Macaca mulatta: one gene and its partners. The protein of the gene in region 3 purifies or fractionates together with the protein of the main gene of each other region. This does not show direct contact. Links are inferred from orthologs where the notes say so. Each region holds a gene or a part of one and is shown on either strand. Other genes may lie near its edges. The genes, in order: BPTF, HMGXB4, C16H17orf49, SMARCA1, SMARCA5 and RBBP7.

Region 1 (3,500 bases), about 69 Mb from region 3:
TCCTGTGGTGGTCAAGGAGTCTGTCACTGTCGTGGTGACCACAGTTTTGCTCTGCTCCTTTACAGAGATGATGTCCACACTGCTGCCCGTGGAAGGTGTGGAAAGCTTGGTCACCGTTGTAGTGGTGGTTGTGACAGTGGATTTCGCACAATTTTCTGTGGAAGAAACCACAGTTTGCTTATCGCCTTTTTCTACCTTGATCACAGTTTTTGATTCTGTGGCCACAGTGGAAGTCATCGTAGTGACTTCTGTGATGACGGTTTTTCTTTTAGATTCTCCATTGACATTTTCATTTTTGTTGACAGGCAGACCATTTTCATCAATAAAGTCATTACTGAGATTAGATTCCTCTCCAGAAGTAACAGGTGATGAACTACCTTTCTTAACTTCTGAGGTTTCTATTTCCATATCTTCTACCTGATTAACTGAATTGCTTTCTGGACAAGATGGTGAAGGTGTGGTCGTCTGTGTACCGTCAGACTCTTTGGTTGATGGCAGGGTCTCAAGGCTATCTCGGTAGTTACCTTCAGCATCTGAAGAACTCAGTAAATGTGATTTTGTTTCGGAGCTGTTTCTTTCATTAAAATCTTCCATGATGACATCACCATTAATGAACGGCCTTACAGCAGATTCTTTAACAGTCAATGATTTAATATCATTCTCAGGGATTATTTTATTTATATTATTAACCTTTGGTTCAACATTACCACTTACTACTTTACTCTCAGAAATTTCTTTCAAGCATTCACCTTTCAAATATATCTTAGGTTTATTATCTTTTCCATTTATTTGAAATGTACTTGTTCTCTGTCCTTTCTTTTCAGACTCTCGATTTTCATTATTCTTTTTGTCAGTAGTATTTTTTAGCTTTATTTGATCACTACATTTATTAACTGATCTCTCCTCTAATTTCTTCTGCTGACTTGTTTTTTTACCATTTGCTTCAGTTACCTTACCCAGCAGTCTGTCCTCACAGTTTCCAGTGGACTTCTCAGAAACCAATTCACATTTTAATGGCTCCAAGCCTTCAATACCTTGTTCTTGAGTTCTGAACTGTTCAGAAATACTTTCATTGCTATTCTGAACAATCATATCTTCTTCACTGCTATCGTGAATAGACACAGTATCAGAACTATTTTCCAAAGTGCTATTAGATTCAGAGTCACATCCCAGTTTTCCTTCAAAGTCCATTGCTTTTGACAGAGGTGTGGCATCTCTGTCATTGGTACTTTTAGGCACTGATGAATGTAAAGCACTCTTGGAAGAAGAAACGATGGTGTCGTTTTCCTCCTGTATGAGCAGTTTTTCGTTCCTATAGATCAAAGAACCAATATCACCTGCATTGGCTAGTTTAGAGTCATCAATGAAAATACCATTTCCTTTTGTTCTACTCTTACTGGGTTCCTGGCCTTTCCTGGCAGGGTCAGAGGCATTTTCTTCTATGTCATTTTCAACGGAATTTTCTTTCTGACAGTTTGTTTCTGGGCTCCGAAAGGAGACATCATCTAACACTTGATCTTTTGGATAAAGTTTGTTGGTGGTACGACTAGGATCCCTCATTCCAAGAACTGAGGAATCACTTTCTGAACATCCCGGAATCAAGTCCTCAGGTCGATCATTATTTGCATTCGGGCTCTGTTCTTGTCGCATCGAGTCACTCTGATACCCTTCTTTTGCTTTTGTTATTACTGGTGATTCAGAGAGATTTTTTGAAGAATTTGTAGAAGTCTTTCCTATACCCTTAATTCCACCCTCCAACTTGATTTTTTCGAGGCGCTGTTTTTCTTCCAGTGTAAACTGTTTAATTCTCCTTTCAAGAAGTCCATCTAGTTTGGATGATTTTGTTTTCTTTTTGTAACTAGTCCTTAGATGAAAACCCTCACTAACATTGACCACATCTACTTGAGAACTCTCCTGACAATTTACATGTGACTCTGTTTTCATGTCATCGTCTATTTCCATTGGTTCTTCCTTGCAGGGTTTATCACTGTCAGAATCTAAAAGCTCCTTCACATCTGTGAAACAAAGACATTTATAGAAATGTAACTTTTACTCTGAAAGGAGGAATTTATACTTTTTTTTTTTTTTTTGAGATGGAGTCTCACTCTGTTGCCCAGGCTGGAGTGCAGCGGCGTGATCACAGTTCACTGCAACCTCCGCCTCCTGGGTTCAAGCAATTCTCATGCCTCAGCTTCCCGAGTAGCCGGGATTACAGGCATGTGACACCATGCCTGGCTAGTTTTTGAATTTTCAGTAGAGACATGGTTTCACGATGTTGGCCAGGCTGGTCTTGAACTCCTGACCTCAGGTGATCCGCCCAACTCAGCCTCCCAAAGTGCTGAGATTACAGGCATGAGCCACTGTGCCTAGCCAAAAATATTAAAGTATCTATTTTTCTCATTTTCTCTCTAGAGTTTAAACATATATTTCAAAGTTCCTGGTCAATAGATAGTGTTGAACTTTATGAGACATACATCCCCAAAATAATTAAATATTCTGATCCTTAGTATCTAAAAACGATGGAATGCCATAATGAAAAAGTACTTAGTATGTGGCAGGCTACTGCACACGCTAGTACCTTCATGTAATATTTTGTATAGACTTTTACAGTTATAACGTATCTCTAGCCACATGCATTATTTAGCTTATTTAGTTTTTTAAAAAATGACTTGTTACAAAAGACAATGTAGTTCCTCAAAAGGTTAAACAGAGTTACCATATGATCCAGTAATTCCATTTCTAGGTATATCTCCAAGAGAAGTGAAAACGCTTGGCCACAAAAAACTTCTGCATGAATGTTCATAGCAGCATTATTCATAATAGCCAAAAGAGGAAACGGCCCAATGTCCATCAACTGATGAATGGATAACAAAATGTGGCATATCCATACAGAGTATTATTCAGAAATAGAAAGAAAATACTGATACATGCTACAACATGGATGAACCTTAAAAACATGCTAAGTGGATGAAGCCAGCCACAAAGGACCACATATTGCCTGATTCCATTTCTATGGACTGTCCAAAATAGGCAAATCCAGAGAGACAGAAAGAAGACCGCTAAGCTGGTGGCACTTTGGGGAAGGATTGGTAAGTAACTGCTAATGGGTATGAATGAGGCTTCTTTTCAAGGTTATGAAAATGTTCTAAGATTGACGTGATAATGGTTGAACTTTGTGACTATACTAAAAACCACTGAATTTACACTTTAATTGGGTGAATTGTATGGGATATGAATTACATTTTAATAAAGCTATTATCAAGAAAACACAACGCAGTACCTTTCCTGTGGTGGGACCCCGATCCACTGCATTCTTATCACCCCCAGGCTGCCCTCCACAGCTGACTCTCCTTACCTTGGTCCTTCTTCTCAGTAATCTTTGAGATATCCATTTCACTTTGGTCTGCTCCTTTTGCAGCATCTGAATCTTTTACCTCATCTTTTTCAGAATCAGGCTCTGTTTTTATTTTTTTGGGACTTCGTGAACATTTTCTTTTATC
Region 2 (3,500 bases), on a different chromosome or scaffold from region 3:
AAGAAATAATAAAAACAGATGCGCACAACATTTTATTTTTCTTTTCTAAAGTTATTAAAAAACACTTCCTTCTTCAAATATTAGGAAATATGGTAAGAAGTAGTTTAAGACTTTCCTGGTGCAGTGGCTCAGGCCTGTAATCCTAGCACTTTGGGAGGCTGAGGCAGGTGGATCATTTGAGGTCAGGAGTTTGAGACCTGCCTGGCCAACATGGTGAAACCCTGTCTCTAACAAAATACAAAAATTGGCCGGGCTTGGTGGCAGGAACCTGTTAATCCCAGCGACTCGGGAGGCTGAGGCAAGAGAATCGCTTGAACCCGGAAGGTGGAGGTTGCAGTGAGCAGAGATCACGCCACTGCACTCCAGCCTGGGCCACAAGAGCAAAAAAAACCTCTGCATCAGAAGAAGAAAAAAAAAAAAAAGTAGTTTAAGACTTTCCTAATTTAAATTTTTAGGACTTACCTTCAACTTCTTCTTGGAAGAATTCCTGACCTGAGCAGCAATTTCTTCCTCTTCCCTTAAAAAATCTTTGTAAGAACGTTTTTTCTCTCGTTGGCTTCGGCCAGCTGCAAGTCCTATGTCCTCAAAGGTATGATCACCATCAAAACAATCTGAGAAGCACAGGTTTATTTGGGAAAGGAAATGAGAATGTCAAGTAAGTAACGACCAAATCACCATGCAGGTAATGCAACAGTTCCTCTATTTCCAAATTAAAACAATGTTTCAATCAAGTCCACTGAAATACAGGGCTAGACCCAGGGGAACAGAATATTTCTTGATGACCTGGCTGCAAATACAAGAATCAAACCTGAAGAAACAATGTTTCCACGCTATGCAAAGGCCCCATGTGCGACCTCAGATATGATTTCTTAGTTGTGATTTGGTAGGTGGACACAGACTTGCAGACGAAAGGCTGAAAAGAATAAGGATTCATGATTCATGTGCTGTGCTGCTCTCTGTGGGAGTCCAGGATGTGATTCCTATCCCCAGACTCCTGCACACTGGAGCTGGCAAGGACCAAGAGTGCTGCAGGGGATCACCCCAATAAACTAAGAGACTCATATTTCAGACTCTCGTGTTGGAACCCCTGTCCTGGTTTTCGTTTCCATGGGCCCAGTCTGGGGATGGCGTGGAGGCTGAGTGTCATAACAGTGCTCTAGACCATCACTTGGGAGTCCAGGCTGTGGTGCCCAGTCCTGGTCTCTATATCCATGGGCTGCAAGGATTGAAGAGGATACCCCCTTTGGAATGCTTCTCAGATTATGGGGTCATACCTTCTTTCTTCACGGAGTCATCATAAGCCATGGTGGTCCTGCAGGGCCTTTGAGAATGTGTCACTGTGTCCAGGCTCCTTCCCGTCTACAGGACCAGGTCTGAGAAACAAAGAAGGAAAACCCTCCTGTAATGCGAAATCAGAGGAGAAGCAACCTTCCAGATGGAAATGTGTAGTGATCCAAGGGCCGACTGGAAGGGCAGCAAGAAATAAAGGAGTGTCTTGTCACCTCCTCATTCTCTTTGTAAATATAGTGGGGTTGATACTGCAGGAAGTACACTAGGCTTAATTAGATTTCAGTCATGAATTAAAGTTGTCATTTGGGGAAGTATATAAAATACCTCCAATACAAAAAATATTTTCAAAATTAATGAGAATTTCTGAAATGCCAACAGGACTGACAACACTGAGACAGGGTAGAAACCAACATTAAGTTAGAGGGATAGGTTCAATCTTGGTTATAAAATACACAGGTAAAGCAAGACGCAGAGAAGACAGATCACACCAAACATTTGAAGACCATAAAATCCTACCAACTGGATTGGTGAACTGGTAACATCTATTGCATTGTAATTTAAACAGAAATGATTAACTGTATAGGAATATTAAATATCTTTAGAGCATAATTTCTTTTGCATTTTGGGGGGGGGTTACATGAATTTGTTCAAATTTATGTAATTGTAAAAGCAGGTACACTCCTTACATCAGTTGACCATGTGACAGCTGTCACCACCACCAAGGCTTTCTTAAAGGCTAGGTGAAAATAGGGAGATATTTATCATTTGTCCACTGGTCATAAAACTTTTATGATTAATAAGATCTTCACTAATAAGAATTGCTATAATTTAAATGTTCTAGATATTGTATTGAGTTTTATTGAATTTTTACAATCTTTTTTTGGCATTTGAGTTTATATGTCCATTTTGACTTTGATGATAACAATGCTATAAAATGCACTGTAAGTTTTTTTTTTTTTCTTTTTCTTTTTTTTTTGAGACAGTCTTGCTCTGTTGCCCAGGCTGGAGTGCAGTGGCAGTTTCGGCACACTGCAACTTCTGCCTCCCAGGTTCAAGTGATTCTCCTGCCTCAGCCTCCCCAGTAGCTGGGATTACAAGCACCTGCCACCACGCCCAGCTAATTTATGTATTTTTAGTAGAGATGGGGTTTCACCATCTTGGCCAGGCTGGTCTTGAACTCTTGACCTCATGATCCACCCGCCTCAGCCTCCCAAAGTGCTGGGATTACAGGTGTGAGCCATCGCGCCCAGCCAAGGTAAAGTTCTTTAAAAGTTTTAAGAACAAGTAATGTCACAAGTCCTTCAGGAAATTTAAAATTACATATTAAATATTTTGGCAATGTTCTCATCCAATTAAGTCAGATGCTTACAAAGTTAATCTAATTGATAATTTATTTAAATTTAATTTGACCTTCATTATTATAAGGGGATTTAGAAATACTGAAGGACACTTAAATGACACATTACTAATTCCTTCAGGCAACTGTGGACAATACTGAAGCATGGAACTTTTGTGAAAGAAAAGATGAATTTGATTAACAAGGGAAGCTTTCGTAAGTTACATTAAAAAGACTTATTTGCACAAATCAGATAAAATACAATGTACAGGTAGGCCTGAATAGGAAAATGAAGCATTACGAAGAATGATTTATAAGAAAAGAAACATAAAGCATTTCTTCACTTCTCTGAGAAGTGAAATAAAGAATGGATTTGGTCAAAGTAACAGAAACTAGAGTAATGAAACTACATTAACTGGATTGTTTTAAAGATAAACTGGAGAACTGCCTGTTCGAAGGGCCTTTTCACAGGAAACGAAGGGGACATAAGGTCAGGCCTCAGATAAAAATGTGAGGAGGCAAGATACATAATGTAGCCAGTTTTTCATGTTCCAGCATTTAAGGATGAAAGTTTCTCAGTGGAAACTACTGTCCTCCCCTTTCCACCCAAGTGGTGCTGACTCCAAAAGGGGCGCAGGTAGGACAAGGGAAATATAGGGAATTATATCCATTTATTTGAAAACAGCATACCCTCTCAAAGGCACTAAAATACTGAGTGTATAAGAAAAATATACAGATTATATTGGTTTTCATAGGCTGATAACGCCAAGAACCACTGGAGACCTCAAATTAAACACTTTCTGTGCATGAATTTTCATGCATGAATTTTGGCAAAGAATATTTAAGAAATAATGGCAAAAAACTTAAATATTCC
Region 3 (4,206 bases):
CACGAAGCTGAGAGGGAAATCTTTATTGTTTTCTGTATAAAAATGTCCATCAGATGAAGGTCAAGGGGGTCGGGGGCAGATGCTTATGCGGGCACAGCGAGGTGGCAGCCCCAGCAGCCTTTCAGCCCTCTCTCGTGCAGGCCTTGCTCGGAGTCCCAGGAGATCCACAGGTCCAGCGTGAACAGTGAGAGGTCAGAGGTGGAAGGCTCAGCAGGAGAGGAGAGGAGGATCAGCAGAGGTCATGAGAAGGCCAGAATCCAGGGTCAGGCTGTCTGGAACAGGAAGTAAAATGGGCCGAGATGGAGCGAGCCCCCAGTGTGCTTCCGAGGCCACTCCCAGCTCCCTGAAACACCCTGCTACGTACTGACCCAATGCCCTGCGCTGTGTATGAGAGCACCTTCTCTTCCGAAACCCCTGTACGAGGGAGGGGCCCCTGCGGAGACCGTGCCCTGCCATCCAGGTGAGCCCTTTCTCTCCCACCCTGTCAGCTGTGTGGGAGGAGGAGGACTCCTACCCTGGTCGAAGTTGAGTTTCTTAGCTGGAGGAGTTTCTCCTAGCCCTTCAATATCCACCAGGTCACTGTTGGCGTCGGAGTCGTTCAGAGCACTGAGTGTCACATCTGGGAAGGGGGCATAAGCTAGGTTCTAGGTTCCCCTGACGGCCTCTCCCCCAGCCCCGAGCTTCCCAAAGCTTCGTGCCTCCCCTCCCCTCTGCCCCTCTCTGGGAACCTCCACAGGGACAGGAAGAGAGCTTGACCCTTCTTTGACCCAGGCCCAATTCTCTCACTGAACCTCAGATGGACTTTTAACCCCTAGGTAGCAAGTCCACAGCCCTCACCGGCCTTCTGTTTCTTTATGGGGGGACCCCCGGCCTCGGGGACACTGGAGCTGCTGGGAGGAGGGGCAGCTGGAGGAGGTGATAAGACACCAGATGCCACCTTCTTGGGCCCTTTCTTGGGTGACTCAGCTGGAAGGGGGATGCCAGAATCTTCATATACCTTGCGTTTCACAGTGGCCTTTATCTGAGCCCTGAAGAAAAGAGAGAAGAGGTTAGGAAAGGAGTCATCAGAGAGACTAACAGAAGAAGGGAGGGGAGGTGAAGGGGTTCTGGGAGTCCCTTGAAAAGAATCCAGGTCGGGGCCCCAACCCATTGGGAGGGTTCTCACTTTCCCAAAGTTTTACACTCACTCAGGGTGGGTGGAATGTGGAGAGTGGAGTCCCTGAGATGAGTAGTGGGAAAGGCCCATCTCCTCATTCTCTTCCGGGAGAGACATCGGGTAAGGCTTGGTGATTTACAGGTGGATTGGGATTTACTGATCAACTAGTTCAGGATCACCATATCCCTGGAAACACTGCAGTGGAGTCCCCCAAAATTTATATAAATAACCAGGGGACTTCCATCATCAAATACAATAACTGAGCATCTCAGGCAACCTAAATTCACATTCTTGGAAGGACTACCACAGCATTTTAGGAACTTCTGACCAACTGTGACAATTCTGTTCTTTCAGTTCTCAAGGGCATTCTAAAAAACTAGTGACAAAGTAGGGAAGCAGCTGAGCTGGAAAGGAGTTCTGAGGACGATGGAACCTTGGGTAAGGAGGAAGAAGGCTGCCCACCCGCCCTTTTCTGGCAGCCACCCTCCCTCACACTGTCCGTTCCTTGATGACACAGCTGATGTGATTAAGATCGTCCCCAAATCGCTTCACAGCAGCCCTCAGCATCTCTATTTCCGTCTCCGTCCACTTCGCACTGTCAGAAGGGGAGAGGGGGGATAGCAAAAATGGGAGGGGGGGTGTGGAGCCAGCCCACAGGCTATGCATCCCACAGTCAACCAGCCGCCTCCTTCCGACTTCTGGGACCCCTTCCACGGATGCATAAAGAGGTCCTCCATAGGGGCGGGGGACGGGCGGGAAGCTCTTGAGGGCCCTGCGGGAACCTGGAGGACCCCAATCACAAGAAATCACAACCACCTCCACCTTAGACACCCCTTTCCACCATGAACGTTAACCGGCTGCTGTACACAGCACACTGAAACCAACTCGCCAAGAAGGGCTTTTCAAACAGACCCACCAACAGCCTGCAGCCGTCTGGGGGAATTCCATGAACTGGGGTGGTTGGGAGTGGCGGTGGTTTGTGGTCGACCCGTTCGCAGCAGGGAGAACTGTGAAATAGGAGTCTGGGCCATAGGCCTGTCTGTATTTTTATCTGTCATTCATTCCCTCATCCAACGATCATTTATTAACACCTACTCTGTGCTGTGCCAGGCACAAAGGGAAACTAACGTCTGTCCCTGTGCTAGAGAGGGTCCGTGTCTGTGACCGAGTCCAAGCGCCCGCTCTCAGCGTCCACGTCCCAGTCCGGGCTCACGTACCCCGCAGGGGAAGAGTCGGCCACAGGATGCAGCTGCATCGTCAGCTCCCCGAGCTTCGTGAAGGCGGCGCCGGCCGCCGAGAAGATCTCTCCGACCTGGGGGCGGGGCAGCGTCACGGGGGGCCGGCGCCCGCCCTCCCCGTCCCGCCTGGAGCCCCTAGCCCCACCCCAGGCTCGGCTCCCGCCCGCCCCCCGCCCCCCGCCCGGGGCGGAAGAGCCACGAGCCAAGTGGGGGGCCCGCCCTCCCGTGGCCGCCAGGGAGCGCTGTCCGCGGGGGAGGTCGAACCTTTGTGGACGCTGACGTCATGGCCCCGCGCGCCTCCTCACGGAGACGCCGCCGCCGCCGCTACACGCGAGCCGGGACCACGGAGAGCAGGGAGACGGAGCGGCTCAGGCCCCCGCGCAGGAAGTCCCGCCCTTCCCGCAGCGGATAGGCTCAACCCTGTGGCTCCCCGCCCCATCAGATGCAGTCGCTTCGACAGCTTGGCGCGCCCAGGCCAAGGGGGAAGCCTTCGCCTCACTTCCGCACCACTTCACTCCACTTCCGCTCAGGGGTCGGGACTCCCCAGGCAGAGGCCGACCTCCAGCCTCAGCCCCGTGCTCGCCCCCACTGAAGCACAGACACAGGGCATAAGAGAGCAGATTCTCTTTATTGAGATACGGGACACAGCGAAGGGTGGAGAGACGGAACAGCCCCCCAGCCTCAGCCCTCTCCACGGGGGCCGGATGCCAGAGATGGGAGAAGAAGAGATTCAGTCTCTCGCCCGGGAAACTCAGTCCCGCAGAGGGTGCCGGCAAGGGTGGGACGCGACCCGGGTGACGCGGTGCAGGGAGTCTTTAAATAGAGGAGGGGCTGGAGCGGGGAAGGGCGCCCGGGCCCTAGCGCACCATGTATTCCTTGCGCTTATTGAGCCGAACTTGGCAGAAAGAGAAGCCTCCGAGGAGGAGGTAAAGGCCCGCGGCGATGAAACAGTTGTAGCTGACTTGCTCGTAAAGGTTGTATATGTTCTGGGGGCCATTCCTGGGGGTGGGAATGAAGCAAAGGTGTCAAACGTTAATAGCAGCCAACGTTTGCTGAGCAGTATGTGCCCAGCACCTGTCTAGGCGCTGTTACGTGTATTACTTTATTCAATCTTCTTGACAATCCTATGGGGTGAGATCTGTCATAGCAGCCATTTTGCAGAGGTGGACTGAGAGGCTCAGAAAAGTAAAATACGTAAAGAGGCCACACCTAAAGTGGTGGGTTTGGAATGGCCGCTGAGGTCTGACTCCCTAGCTCCTAACCACATTCTCAAGAAAGCAGCTCTCCTCTCCCTGTTCCCTAACCTAGGGGCCCCAAGCACCCGACCTCCCAGACGTAATCTGACCTCGCCACCTCCCACCTGATCCCAGCCCGCCTCCCCCACCCGAATACTTACTCAAAATCTTTCTCTGTGAAGGGAACGTCCTCAATCAACACAGCGGAATGGACATTGAAAAATATTCCGAGCATTATCTGGAAAAGGGGAATGGGTAGGTTGTTGAATTCAGGCACCTGACCTCAAGTTCACTTCGTAAACCCCTCCCATTTCTAATGTTGCTACCACACCCGTGCCTAAGATGAACCAAAACGAGGTGGTGGTTACTGGATTCGGACTCAGCCACCTGGAACAGGGCGTGAGGTGGTGACATTGAGACAAGTGGCCGAGGCAAGGGTAGGAATAGTGACCAAGCCTTCTCTCCCAGGAACCCAGATTATCGTCCTCCCTGGAGGCGTCATCGTCACGGGACAGTGCGCAAGAGGGGAGGGAGAATCGGCACTTCTTCGTATCATTTCTTCTTGAAGTGGCGGTGG
Region 4 (3,500 bases), on a different chromosome or scaffold from region 3:
TAATGTTTAGGTGCATTGCCACTTCTCCATTCTGCTCTGTGTTGCCAGGGTAATATGGGTTCTTTTTTCTTTTTACTGCCAAACTTTTTGTTTGTTCTGTATATTACAATAGTATAAGGATAGACTTTGTTCCAGAGTATAATCATATCTGAAATCTAATGTGGCATTTACTAATGAGTTTTAACTATGGAATATCATGTGGCACAATAATGGTTTTTACTTCAATAGGATCATGGTAGCAGAAATGTGGAGAGGACCATGTGTCATTCTGACTATGATTTTATATTGTTTACTCTTGAAATAACTCTAAAGATTGATAAGGCTGTGTATATACAGCCTTAGTAATTAATTTTTCTCGTCAGTGTACTCTTAGTTTGTCTCTTGATTTATAGGTCCCAAGGAATCCTGATATCCCAAATCCAGCTCTGGCTCAAAGAGAAGAGCAAAAAAAGATTGATGGAGCTGAACCTCTTACACCAGAAGAGACTGAAGAAAAGGAAAAACTTCTCACCCAAGTAAAGTATTTTCAATGGCTGAAATATTTACAGTCAATCGATAGAAAAAAAGAAAATACAGATCACACTTAATTTTTTTTGTATGGGCCTAGTATCCTAGTTTGACACACCAGCAAAACTCAGGGCTATTTTGTAAACATGTTTAGACCAAAATCCCTATTTTTAAAAATTGATCTTATAGAATATGCCCTTTTGGAAATACTGGGTAGTATGTATATGCAAAATATAAGTGTAAAGTATTAGCAATATGACACACATTTTGCCAATTGTAATAAGGTCAGTGAATCCACATTTGAATTCTGATAGACAGTAGTTATTAACATATTCTTTTTTGTTTTTTGAGACAGTCTTGCTCTGTCACCCAGGCCGGAGTGCAGTGGTGCAATCTCAGCTCACTGCATCCTCCACCTCCCGGGTTCAAGCGATTCTCCTGCCCCAGCCTCCTGAGTAACTGGGATTACAGGCACCCGCCACCGTGCCTGGCTAATTTTTGTGTTTTTAGTAGAGATGGGGTTTTGCCATGTTGGCCAGGCTAGTCTCAAACTCCTGACCTCAAGTGATCCGCCCACCTTGGCCTCCCAAAGTGCAGCTGATATTACAGGTGTGAGCCAACGGGCCAAGCCTGTTATTAGCATATTCTTGAAAATTTAAATTTCTTTTGTTTATAGGTGTGAATTGTCTCCAGAAGTTATATTCCATTAATTTTTTATTAATAGAATAATTTCGTAATTTTCAAAATTATTTTTATTTTTTTTTAGAATTTTCATGCAATGATATTTCTGAAACTTTTTAAGGTGATCATTGTATAACAATTATTAAATTAGAAAGGCTTCCATTTGAACAAAATATTAATGCTTTCAAGTTACTATTGCTATAACGAGTTTTACGAGTGTTCTACTTCTAAAATAAACTATGGAAGGTAAAAAGAATTTCAGCACAGAAGGCTTGAGAAAGCCAAAATGTGTACTTGTAAGACATTACTTTAGTATAGAGGGTTGCCAGCAAGATTTATTTATTCAACAAATTTTGAACAATGTGCAATGCATAATAGCAGGTAATTCTCCGCATTAATTATTGAAAGATAGTTTTTATATTTATATGTTATTTATTATATAGGTCTTTGCTGTAACATGTAATTTTATTGTATGTGTATTGGATTTTCACAAATTACATTCATAAGTTTTTGAACCAAATGCCTGGAAGTAATAAAGTTTAGTTTGAAAATATAATTGCAGATGGCTGAATATTAGAACTTACCACAGGATAAAATAAAACATTTAAATATTCATCTTCTGTTTTCAAAATGTATTTCCTGAATGCAAAAGTGAAGTTACGGCTTTAGAATGCTACATGGCTTGGAGTATATTGTGAATGTATGGTATAACATGAATATACAATCTCAACTGAGATAATATTTTAGTTTGTGATTAGAAATATAATCAGTTTTCTGCCCCTCCTAGTAGATGAATTCATTTTTGTCCTTCTCTGCTACCTTAAATAATTAATCTTTTTCAAAAACCATGGCAGTACATAGGAACAAAATGTGGGGTCATCTGAAATCTTTATCGACTAAAAGCCAGGGATAGAGTTTTGCAATGTCTAGAGTATCACGTTTATGTGAGTTGGGGCTCGAGGAGTGGAAAACAAATTTTTGGTCTTGTGACTTCACAGACATGCTAATAATGCCAAGGGAATTTAAAACACTGGCTAAAGTGTTTATGTTTTAGTAAAGAAATTGAGTGGCTCCAATAACATTCTGCTTGTAGAAGTTCTATTTAGGAACATAATTTAGAACAGAAATTATTTATTCCCACTAGTTCAGAATGATGTAAAGAGTTAGAATTTTTTTTTTTTTTGCATTCTCTTTTGGTTATTCTCAGTGTTCTTTTGATTTAGTGTATCCACATTTCTCTCTCTTAATTTACATGGGAACAGATCTGTGAAAAAAATCATTGAAGTACTAGAATATCACGACTTCAGCATTTATATTAGCATTTTTATTTTCATGCATTTGTATTTTAATGTAGTAGGCATCTATAAAATATGAAATTAAAAACTACAGAAAATCTTAGAACTATATATCAACTTTAAGTACTTGGAGAGGATTACATTCTCTTTGTAATAGAAAAGCAGTTATTTCTGTAACAACTCTCACTCAACTTTTGATTCCAACATAAAATATGTGCAATTTTATGAGGAGAAACATTTTAAGTCTTTTAAAGTGTTTTAAAATGTATCATTGTATAGAAGTAAATAGGACAATAAATGGATTTATTAATTTAACCTCTATTGATAATGCTTAACTTTTTGTTCACAGGGTTTCACAAACTGGACTAAACGAGATTTTAACCAGTTTATTAAAGCTAATGAGAAATATGGAAGAGATGACATTGATAACATAGCTCGAGAGGTAGAGGGCAAATCCCCTGAGGAGGTCATGGAGTATTCAGGTTTGTATATAATTTGAAACATGGTGTTGTATTTTAACGTTATTCATTTATGTAGCACCAGTTTAATTGTACCTTTGTTCAGAGATGTTTTAAACTTTTATGAATAAGACATAGATGAGAGTATAAACTGTACTTGTGTTTCTATGAAAAGATTATAAGATTTATCCTAACAAACTGACGGCTGTTGTTTCTATCACCTAGCTAAAAGAGCCAAATAAAGCTCGATAAAACAAGGGTGGCTATTGGATAAGCATTGACAAAATTAGTTTCCCACCTTCCCACCTCTGGAATTTGGTCCTCTTCTGGTTCAGTTCTGAGATTCATATTCAGTGGACTGAATTCATGCCTTTCTTTCTAGGTCGTCCTTAATGTAGAGAGTTCCCGTCAGGCCCATTTAGATGCTCAAACACCCTCAGAGTTCCAACCTTTTCCAGAGAGTTCCTGTGGGTCCCATTAACTTGAGGCTAGTGGGCATAGAGCTGAAAAGGTTGCTTTAATCAATCTGTTAACTGGTCCTCGAATCGTCTCCCTCTCT
Region 5 (4,246 bases), on a different chromosome or scaffold from region 3:
ATTAGCCGGGCATGGTGGTGCACACCTGTAATTCCAGCTACTACGGAGGCTAAGTCATGGGAATCCTTTGAACCCGGGAGTTGGAGATTGCAGTGAGCCGAGATCACACCACTGCACTCCAGCCTGGGCGACAGAGAAATTCTGCCTCAAAACAAAACAAAACAAAACAAAACAACCATTATTCTACATTAACGGTTGTTAAAGGTTAATAGTTCATTTTCTGGGTGTACGATAGTTTTAAAGACGTAACTTTTAATACTGGATTCAGCCTACTGCTGTTAGCTTTTTGCAGTTACATATGAAGAGTATGATGAACATCATTGTAGGTATTTATCTTTGCACATATCCTTAGACATTTCCTTACAGTCTAAGAACTAGCATTTCTAGTGGAGTGGGGACATTTTTCCAGATGTCAATTAAAAAATTATTCCATTAGTTAAAAAATTTGCAGGCTATATATTCAAAGGAGATCCCTTTTGTTTGGAATTCAACATAACCAGTTAGCTCAAACCTCAACTCTTGAAAAATGTGCCTCCTTTATTCAACAAACATTTATAGAATACTGGATATGACGAATAAAAAAAGATAAATAAGACCCTGTGCTGGGCAGATAATCTACTGTAGTATGCAGATTTGTTATCAAATAGACTACAATGTATTTAAATTTTGCAGGAGATGAATGCACAAGGCCCTTAAACTACATTGAAGGCTGCCTAAGGCAGTATACAAAATTAGTGCTGAACACTTGAGAAAGTGCGTTTTAATTTTAATGTTTGATGCTTGAGGAAAAGATTACATCATACCACCTATCTTCCCCACATACTATTTGTGTTTCTCACTTACATGGTAGTGTGCATGTTATTTGCTTACCTTTAGCATATAAATTCAGAAGAAATAGCATTTAACTCTGTGCTTAAAGAGGATATTTAGAAATAACTGACGCAGCTAACATGAGAAGGCAAAAAAAACAAAACAAAAACCAAAAAAGAAAAAACTAACGGACTTTTTTTTTTTTTTTTTTTTTTTTAACAAAACAGTGAGACGTCACTTGGGGTAACCATAACGTCGTCAAGGCTGTGGCGTCACGCCTCTAAGCGGATACGGCAGAAGTTTTGGGGTCAGACACAAGACTTCCAAGTTTGAATGGGCAGCGCAAAACTCAGGTAAGTTTTCCAGTAGTGCCGCCGATCCCAGCCAGGCCCGGAAGACACAACGAGAACCGTGAGCCGTTACGAAAGCCTAAAACACTGAGCTCGCGTCCTGCCAGACAGCAGACGCACAAACCTACGCCTCCGAGCGCTCCCTCGAGGTCCCGCCTACTCTTCTCTCCCGAGCCCGCTAGAGGTCTGGAGGAGGAGGGGCCAAGGGTGAGGAGGAGGGGCCAAGGGTAAGGAGGACAGTATGAGCATGCGCACTCAGTACCCAGTCAGTGAACCAATAAGGAATCTCGCGAGGGTTGAAAGTCGGTGGCGTAGGTAGTCGTCCTGGATGCTGGCGAGATAGACGATATCTGCCAGAGGAAGAGGAGGAGGAGGCGGCGAAGCGTTTTCCCAGCCTCAGTCTCTGTTTCGTTTTCCTTTTCCCTTCCCCCAACCCTCCGCCCTTCTCTAAATCAGCCCGCCTTCCTTGACCTCAGTGACCCGTCTGGCCCCGCCCATCCTCGTCGACGTGATTCCCGCCGTGAGGTAAGCGCCGGTGGAACCTAGAGCCCCGCGGAAGAGCAGAACGTCTGGGAGTGTGCAGCTCCTGGGCCCGGCTCAGGCCCGTCGCGGAGGCGCGGCGCGGGGGAGCGCTCGGGTGGGAGTCTCGCTCCTCCACCAGTTTATTGCGACGTAGCCACCCGGGCCTAGGCCTCCCCGTCCATCCCCGCCGGACTCGGCCTCTGGCAGCAGCGGGTGACGCAGACGGAACATCATGTCGTCCGCGGCCGAGCCTCCGCCACCCCCGCCTCCCGAGAGCGCGCCTTCCAAGCCCGCAGCCTCGACCGCCAGCGGCGGGAGCAACAGCAGCAACAAAGGCGGCCCCGAGGGCGTCGCTGCGCAGGCGGTTGCGTCTGCGGCCAGCGCGGGTCCCGCAGACGCCGAGATGGAGGTGAGGGCAGCTTGCGGCGTGGGGAGCGGGCGCAGCGGGGAGGAGGAGCTGGCTCCCTCGCCGGATCGTGGCGATCGGACGCAGAGCCGGGCTTCTCTCTCTGCACCAGACTCAGCTTCACACCCTGTGGATACGAAATGATGCTCTCACCCTTGCTCCCTTGTTCTTAACCTATTGGAGCCAAGCAAAATGGATTTCCGGCTCCTCACGTTGAAATTATTTGTCTCTTTCGTGAATCTTGACAAATCTTTGAATGCTCTCAATGAACAGATGTTCTTGGTTACCGTGGCCCAGGGGGACCCATCTTTTTTTCGCACTAGACTCCCATAATTCCCTCTCCTACCTCTGAATGTGGTTTTTAGTTTCCACCAAACTTCGGGGAAGGGCGAGGAGATGACCCCTTAGGAGCGGGATGCACGGGCAGGGTGAAGGAGGCATTTAAAAGCAGCGCGTCCGAGGACTTGGGCCTCTTTTTCTTCTTCCCGGTCCTTGCGGGGGCGGTATCTGTTCTGGGCAGAAACAATGGCGAGAGCTGGATGGCCGAGTGCGCAGTGGGGATAAGCGGGGCGCAGCTGCTTCTGTGAAGGGAGAGGAAGCCCCTCCCAGGCACTGTTCCACTGGAAGGGAAGCAACCAAGGCAGCAGCAGCTGTCTCGGATCCCCCATCGAATTTAGGGGGGATGAGTAAGTGTAGGAATGAATTAGAGAACCAGGCGCAGTTGATTGGCTCTCAGTCCGGCACTTTTTCTCTTTTTGGCCTCTCGCCTTAAAAAAAAAAAAAAAAAATTAGTACCACTCGGCTCCCGAGACTTCTGGGTTTGGGTTGTCCAGAGGATGCTGACGGTACTGAGGGGGCTGGAAAGATGGGGAAGCTGCCAGGCGGGTAAATTGGATATGCCTCCAGGCTTTGCAATATCTGGGGAAAAAGTAATTGCTCCTTCCAATTGTTATTCTTGGCCTTCGACCTGTTTTGAAATATTTTGTAAGTCGGAGCCCAAAGATTTCTGGGATTTTCCTATCCTTAGAATGAAGGTAATACTGCTCCGAAGATGAGTCTTGACGCACAATCGTTGTACAGTGGGGAAATGGGAGCGTAGTTTACCATTGAGGCATTTGGCACAGTAGTTTTATTTGGGTAGCTGGGGTTAGGTAACATTAATGTTAGTAATCTTTTAAAGCACTTTTAGTGTGAGGGTAGGTTTAGTGACATAGGAACTCCTGATGGTTCCTGTAGTTTTGAGTGATTAGGATAAGATTTCTTTCAAATTAAAATATATTCAGTGTTGCCTGTTTTCCCCTTAAGGAAATGGTTCTTTTGGGTTACCAGGGCTCTTTAACTTGAATTCCGGTTCCAAGGCTTAAGGGGTTTGACACAAAGCAATTGTGTGTAAATGTGCAGTTCTGGACAAAAATCTGTTCATAGTTATCCTCAGCCTCTCAAAGGGGGGTCTGCCATCCAAACTTTGGAAAAATAAATTTTCACCAGAGGTCTTGTTAATATCTGAACACAGTAATTTTAAGCCAAAAGCAAGTCAACTTTTTTGACTTGAAGTTGTTATTTTAAATGAAAATTGATTTTAAGTTTAAATATGAGTATAGATGATGTCACTACCGTATTAAATTAGTGATATTTTCATTTGCCAGATGGGGAATTTGAGTTCTGCTAGGTAGAACCTGTGATAAAACTCAGGTCTGCCTTTAAAAGTGAGTCTTTTCCCACCCATCTTACTCTGCCGTGTTCTTACCAAAAAAACGTATTTGGCAGTTCAATTTATTGAATAACATAGTTATTTTTACCTTCCTAGTATAGAAATATTAGGAATTTTATTTTTTATCCATCTTATCACTGACTCATTTTGTTGTTGTTGTTGTTGTTGTTGACAGTGTGATTTTTTTTGTCTTAAAATGCACCGTCAGTTTCCTGTTCAGAATCACTGCAATTCATGATCAAAACTAAGTTTGAGCACACATGCCTAATATATGTCACAACTTAATCTGTTTTGCACTTGGAAAATGAATATTTTATAAATGACTTTTTCTTGTTTGGAAGTATGATCTAAGGTGTTTTTCTAAAATCACAGAATAAACTCAGCATTCATGAATTTTGTGTGCGTGTGTGTGTGTGTGTGTGTGTGTGTGTGTGTGTGGCAAAGCTG
Region 6 (3,500 bases), on a different chromosome or scaffold from region 3:
CATGGTCATCAGATGCACTTAGGAGATGTCCACTCAAATTCGAATTCCAGGAGAGACCATAGCCTTCCTTCTGGTGACCTCTTAACCTGAGATCAGGATTACATTCTCCACTTGGGTCTAAGAAAAGATGAAAAAACATTAAGTTGTTCTCTGTTTATCAGAACTGGTGAGAATAAATTCTCACTCCTTCATTGAGTGAGCCATTACAGCAATTGCACATGAACAAGATCTGGTCTGACCCATAACCACTTTAAAAAGCTGTTCTCTTTGCTTCGTTCTTAATACCCAATGCAAATTGAGCCTCATGACCATTAAACGATTGGTTTCTTTGGAAAACCTAATATTATCCCCAACACAAAAATACTAAAAACTATAGCTATCCTACAAATTTGGGCAGTGGTAACCCTATCCCCCCAACTCCCCAATTTTTTAGAAATATTTCTAACACAGCAGGTCTGGTTGCTCAGTCCTTGCATGCCTCTAGGGTAGCCTGCAACCATAAATGACCCTTAGCCAACCCCTGGGAATGTGACCCTCAGAAAGTTCTTCACGTCACTGACTGGTAAAGTTGTGTAAGCCCAGAGCAGTGGGGTATGCCATAGGAACCTGTCAAGACTTGTAGGATTGTTTAGCAAGATTCACAATGTATTTGGCTTCACTATTGGGGTTCTCAATTTTGTTACCATGGCTGGTCATAGAACAGGATGTGCCCATGCCAACAGACCTCCACAAAAATCCCAGATTCTGAAACTCAAATGGGCTGCCCTGGGTAGAGACATTTGGCACATGTTCCTATGGTTTGCTGCTAGAGACAAAGTATGTCCCACGTGACCCTGGATGGGAAGGACTCAGACACCTGTAGCTAACCTCTCTGGACTTCCCCTGATGTATATCTTTTTCTTCCTACTTTTGCTCTGGATCCTTTGCTGTAATAAACTTTAGCTGTTAGTATAAGCTGCTTTTAGGCAGTTCTGGCAAATCCCTGAACTTGAGGATGGTTATGGGACCCCCCAAAGTAATTTTTAAACCTTTAAATATTACAAAGTATGCTACTTTGACTTAAAAACATTACCAGTTTGAATCAAGAAAACTGCTCAAGTAATGACCTGACTTTATTATTACGTACCTGGTTTAGCAGGGTGTTTTGTATAGTCAAAAACCAACACATCAGAAGATGGTGTTTTTGTAGCAATGATGTGAGGATTCTGCGGCATGTAACGAGCACGGTTTACTTCTCCTTCATGATTGATTTTAATTTCACATTCAATTTTTCCTGTTACAGAACCAAAGCCACCAAATTCTAATGTGAGGAGAAAGAAACACACACACACTCAGGATTAAAATTCACAAATTACTTAGTTCAATCAACCCAACAGATTTTGACCTGGCAGAATACAACACAAATTGACAAGCCAAAGACAGAGACATGCATAGAGAAAATCCAAAAATGTGGGTTCATTTGCCACATCAATTTATTCTTTTTTTTTTTTTTTTTTTTTTTGAGACGGAGTCTCGCTGTGTCTCCCAGGCTGGAGTGCAGTGGCGTGATCTCGGCTCACTGCAAGCTCCGCCTCCCGGGTTCATGCCATTCTCCCGCCTCAGCCTCCCAAGTAGCTGAGACTACAGGCGCCCGCCACCACGCCCGGCTAGTTTTTTGTATTTTTAGTAGAGACGGGGTTTCACCATGTTAGCCAGGATAGTCTCGATCTCCTGACCTCGTGATCCACCCGCCTCGGCCTCCCAAAGTGCTGGGATTACAGGCTTGAGCCACCGCGCCCGGCCCAATTTATTCTTAAAGCCCATTTGCACTGGAAAACATTGGTAGCTGCCTTATGCAACTTAATTCAGTTCCACCTTGGATCTAAAACAACTGTCCTCTTTCAGTTATGAAGATGATACAGTTATTCACTGAAATTTCAAATAACCATATAATAAGCAGACCAACAGCTTTTTAGTTCAAATACAACTCACTGGAAGTGCTGCACTGATTTAGCATCTTATTTTAGGATTCATCAAAACAGGAAAAGTTTTAACCCTCAGGAGTATGAACACCCTTTGAGTCTAAAGTCAGAAGCATCCTCAAATCAGTGTGAAACCCATGCTAACCCCTACCTGTCCCTTAACACACATACGTTGGCCCTGCTAGCATCCTTGGTTTAACTGCTAGTGCAATGCCAAGGTTAACCTCTCCGCCCATCTGGTGTGTGAATAAGACGGTGTGTGAATAAGACTGTAGTATTAAATAATCATGAAAAAGGCCTTGTAAAGTAACAAAGCCATATAAAAAGCACAGTAACTTCCAAGAAGTAGCAACATATTAGCAGAAAGAATACAAATAGAGAATATCTAAGCAAATACAGCAAACAAGAACATTCTTTTTTGTGCTCATAGATAAAAAACTTGAATTAGTTGCTGAGGCTTAAAAAGATAGGAGAGTTCACACTACAATTGTGTTATTCTTCCTGACCTATATTGCCTTTTCTTTGCACATTCCATTTTAGCTCACCCTATGTCTCAGGTCAGGGACAACTAGCACAAATGCCTACTGGAGCCAGGCTGATAAGTAGTAAAACAGACCGGGGCCTGGAGCAACCACCAAAAGGAGAAAACCATTTCTCAGTTCCAGGCAGCTCCTTCTATGTGGAATGCTTAATGAACATTGGCTTCCATGTCTTAATATTAGTATCTAGCTGTTCTCTCTGAAGCAAACATAGCTTACTATTGCAGTGCGGCTGAAAAAACCGTATCTCAAATCCACGATTACTTCAAAGCTCCTTTACCCACTACTCTCACGTGACAACATGCAAAAGGACCCTTTTTCCTCATAGCACCTTCTGTTCCATGGTGTCAATGGAAGAAGTGTGCCTCAGCATGCTAAGACCCCTCCTGATCCAATAGTCTCCTGCCTCCTGAGACTGCTCCAAACCTGCTTCACTTTGACCTTCAACATCCCATTGCATGGACTCCAGTGGCTCTAACCCTTCTGCTACAAAGATACTCAAATTTCCTGATTCCTTTAGCTAAAACAACCTGAAGAGCTCTCCAAAAAAAAGGGGGGGGAGGGGCGCTTCCAAGTAGGATTTACTTTGAACACAAGAGTTTTGTTTTCTCAAACTTAAAATTTTGAAGTCACTGTCTTAATGATCACATCCATTAAAAAATATAACTGAATATTGGCCAGGCGCAGTGGCTCACACCTGTAATCCCAGCACTTTGGGAGGCTGAGGCGGGCGGATCACAAGGTCAGGAGATCAAGACCATCCTGGCTAACAGTGTGAAACCTTGTCCCTAACTAAAAATACAAAAAATTAGCTGGCTGTGGTGGCGGGCGCCTGTAGTCCCAGCTACTCGGGAAATCACTTGAACCCAGGAAGCAGAGGTTGCAGTGAGCCGAGATCGCACCACTGCACTCCAGCCTGGGTGAAAGAGTAAGACTTTGTCTCAAAAAAAAAAAAAAAAAAAATACACACACACACACACATATAAACGTAAACTGAATA

The links.
Region 1: the proteins of C16H17orf49 (region 3) and BPTF purify together in Homo sapiens (affinity purification with mass spectrometry; 5 studies listed by BioGRID and IntAct, with this or other methods). This does not show direct contact. The link is inferred for Macaca mulatta from reciprocal best matches to the Homo sapiens genes BACC1 and BPTF.
Region 2: the proteins of C16H17orf49 (region 3) and HMGXB4 purify together in Homo sapiens (affinity purification with mass spectrometry; 4 studies listed by BioGRID and IntAct, with this or other methods). This does not show direct contact. The link is inferred for Macaca mulatta from reciprocal best matches to the Homo sapiens genes BACC1 and HMGXB4.
Region 4: the proteins of C16H17orf49 (region 3) and SMARCA1 purify together in Homo sapiens (affinity purification with mass spectrometry; 4 studies listed by BioGRID and IntAct, with this or other methods). This does not show direct contact. The link is inferred for Macaca mulatta from reciprocal best matches to the Homo sapiens genes BACC1 and SMARCA1.
Region 5: the proteins of C16H17orf49 (region 3) and SMARCA5 purify together in Homo sapiens (affinity purification with mass spectrometry; 5 studies listed by BioGRID and IntAct, with this or other methods). This does not show direct contact. The link is inferred for Macaca mulatta from reciprocal best matches to the Homo sapiens genes BACC1 and SMARCA5.
Region 6: the proteins of C16H17orf49 (region 3) and RBBP7 purify together in Homo sapiens (affinity purification with mass spectrometry; 3 studies listed by BioGRID). This does not show direct contact. The link is inferred for Macaca mulatta from reciprocal best matches to the Homo sapiens genes BACC1 and RBBP7.

What each region holds. Positions count from the first base shown.
Region 1 is NC_133421.1:77,673,487-77,676,986, reverse strand, and holds part of BPTF (nucleosome-remodeling factor subunit BPTF), read right to left. Parts: coding exon 3,356-3,500; intron 2,016-3,355; coding exon 1-2,015. UniProt on the Homo sapiens protein: Regulatory subunit of the ATP-dependent NURF-1 and NURF-5 ISWI chromatin remodeling complexes, which form ordered nucleosome arrays on chromatin and facilitate access to DNA during DNA-templated processes such as DNA replication, transcription, and repair.
Region 2 is NC_133415.1:16,281,771-16,285,270, forward strand, and holds part of HMGXB4 (HMG domain-containing protein 4), read right to left. Parts: intron 1,374-3,500; 5' UTR 1,306-1,373; coding exon 1,275-1,305; intron 612-1,274; coding exon 463-611; intron 1-462. UniProt on the Homo sapiens protein: Negatively regulates Wnt/beta-catenin signaling during development.
Region 3 is NC_133421.1:8,489,038-8,493,243, reverse strand, and holds C16H17orf49 (BPTF-associated chromatin complex component 1), read right to left. Parts: upstream 2,801-4,206; 5' UTR 2,680-2,800; coding exon 2,659-2,679; intron 2,469-2,658; coding exon 2,374-2,468; intron 1,752-2,373; coding exon 1,650-1,751; exon of another isoform or gene 1,511-1,649; intron 1,029-1,510; coding exon 838-1,028; intron 620-837; coding exon 515-619; intron 461-514; exon of another isoform or gene 273-460; coding exon 208-272; 3' UTR 5-207; downstream 1-4. Other genes in the region: RNASEK (ribonuclease kappa), read right to left, coding at 3,252-3,393, 3,791-3,867. UniProt on the Homo sapiens protein: Component of chromatin complexes such as the MLL1/MLL and NURF complexes.
Region 4 is NC_133426.1:135,929,608-135,933,107, reverse strand, and holds part of SMARCA1 (SWI/SNF-related matrix-associated actin-dependent regulator of chromatin subfamily A member 1), read left to right. Parts: intron 1-392; coding exon 393-515; intron 516-2,832; coding exon 2,833-2,965; intron 2,966-3,500.
Region 5 is NC_133410.1:152,330,259-152,334,504, forward strand, and holds the start of SMARCA5 (SWI/SNF-related matrix-associated actin-dependent regulator of chromatin subfamily A member 5), read left to right. Parts: upstream 1-1,446; 5' UTR 1,447-1,914; coding exon 1,915-2,091; intron 2,092-4,246. UniProt on the Homo sapiens protein: ATPase that possesses intrinsic ATP-dependent nucleosome-remodeling activity.
Region 6 is NC_133426.1:16,527,653-16,531,152, forward strand, and holds part of RBBP7 (histone-binding protein RBBP7), read right to left. Parts: intron 1,301-3,500; coding exon 1,127-1,300; intron 118-1,126; coding exon 2-117; intron 1-1. UniProt on the Homo sapiens protein: Core histone-binding subunit that may target chromatin remodeling factors, histone acetyltransferases and histone deacetylases to their histone substrates in a manner that is regulated by nucleosomal DNA.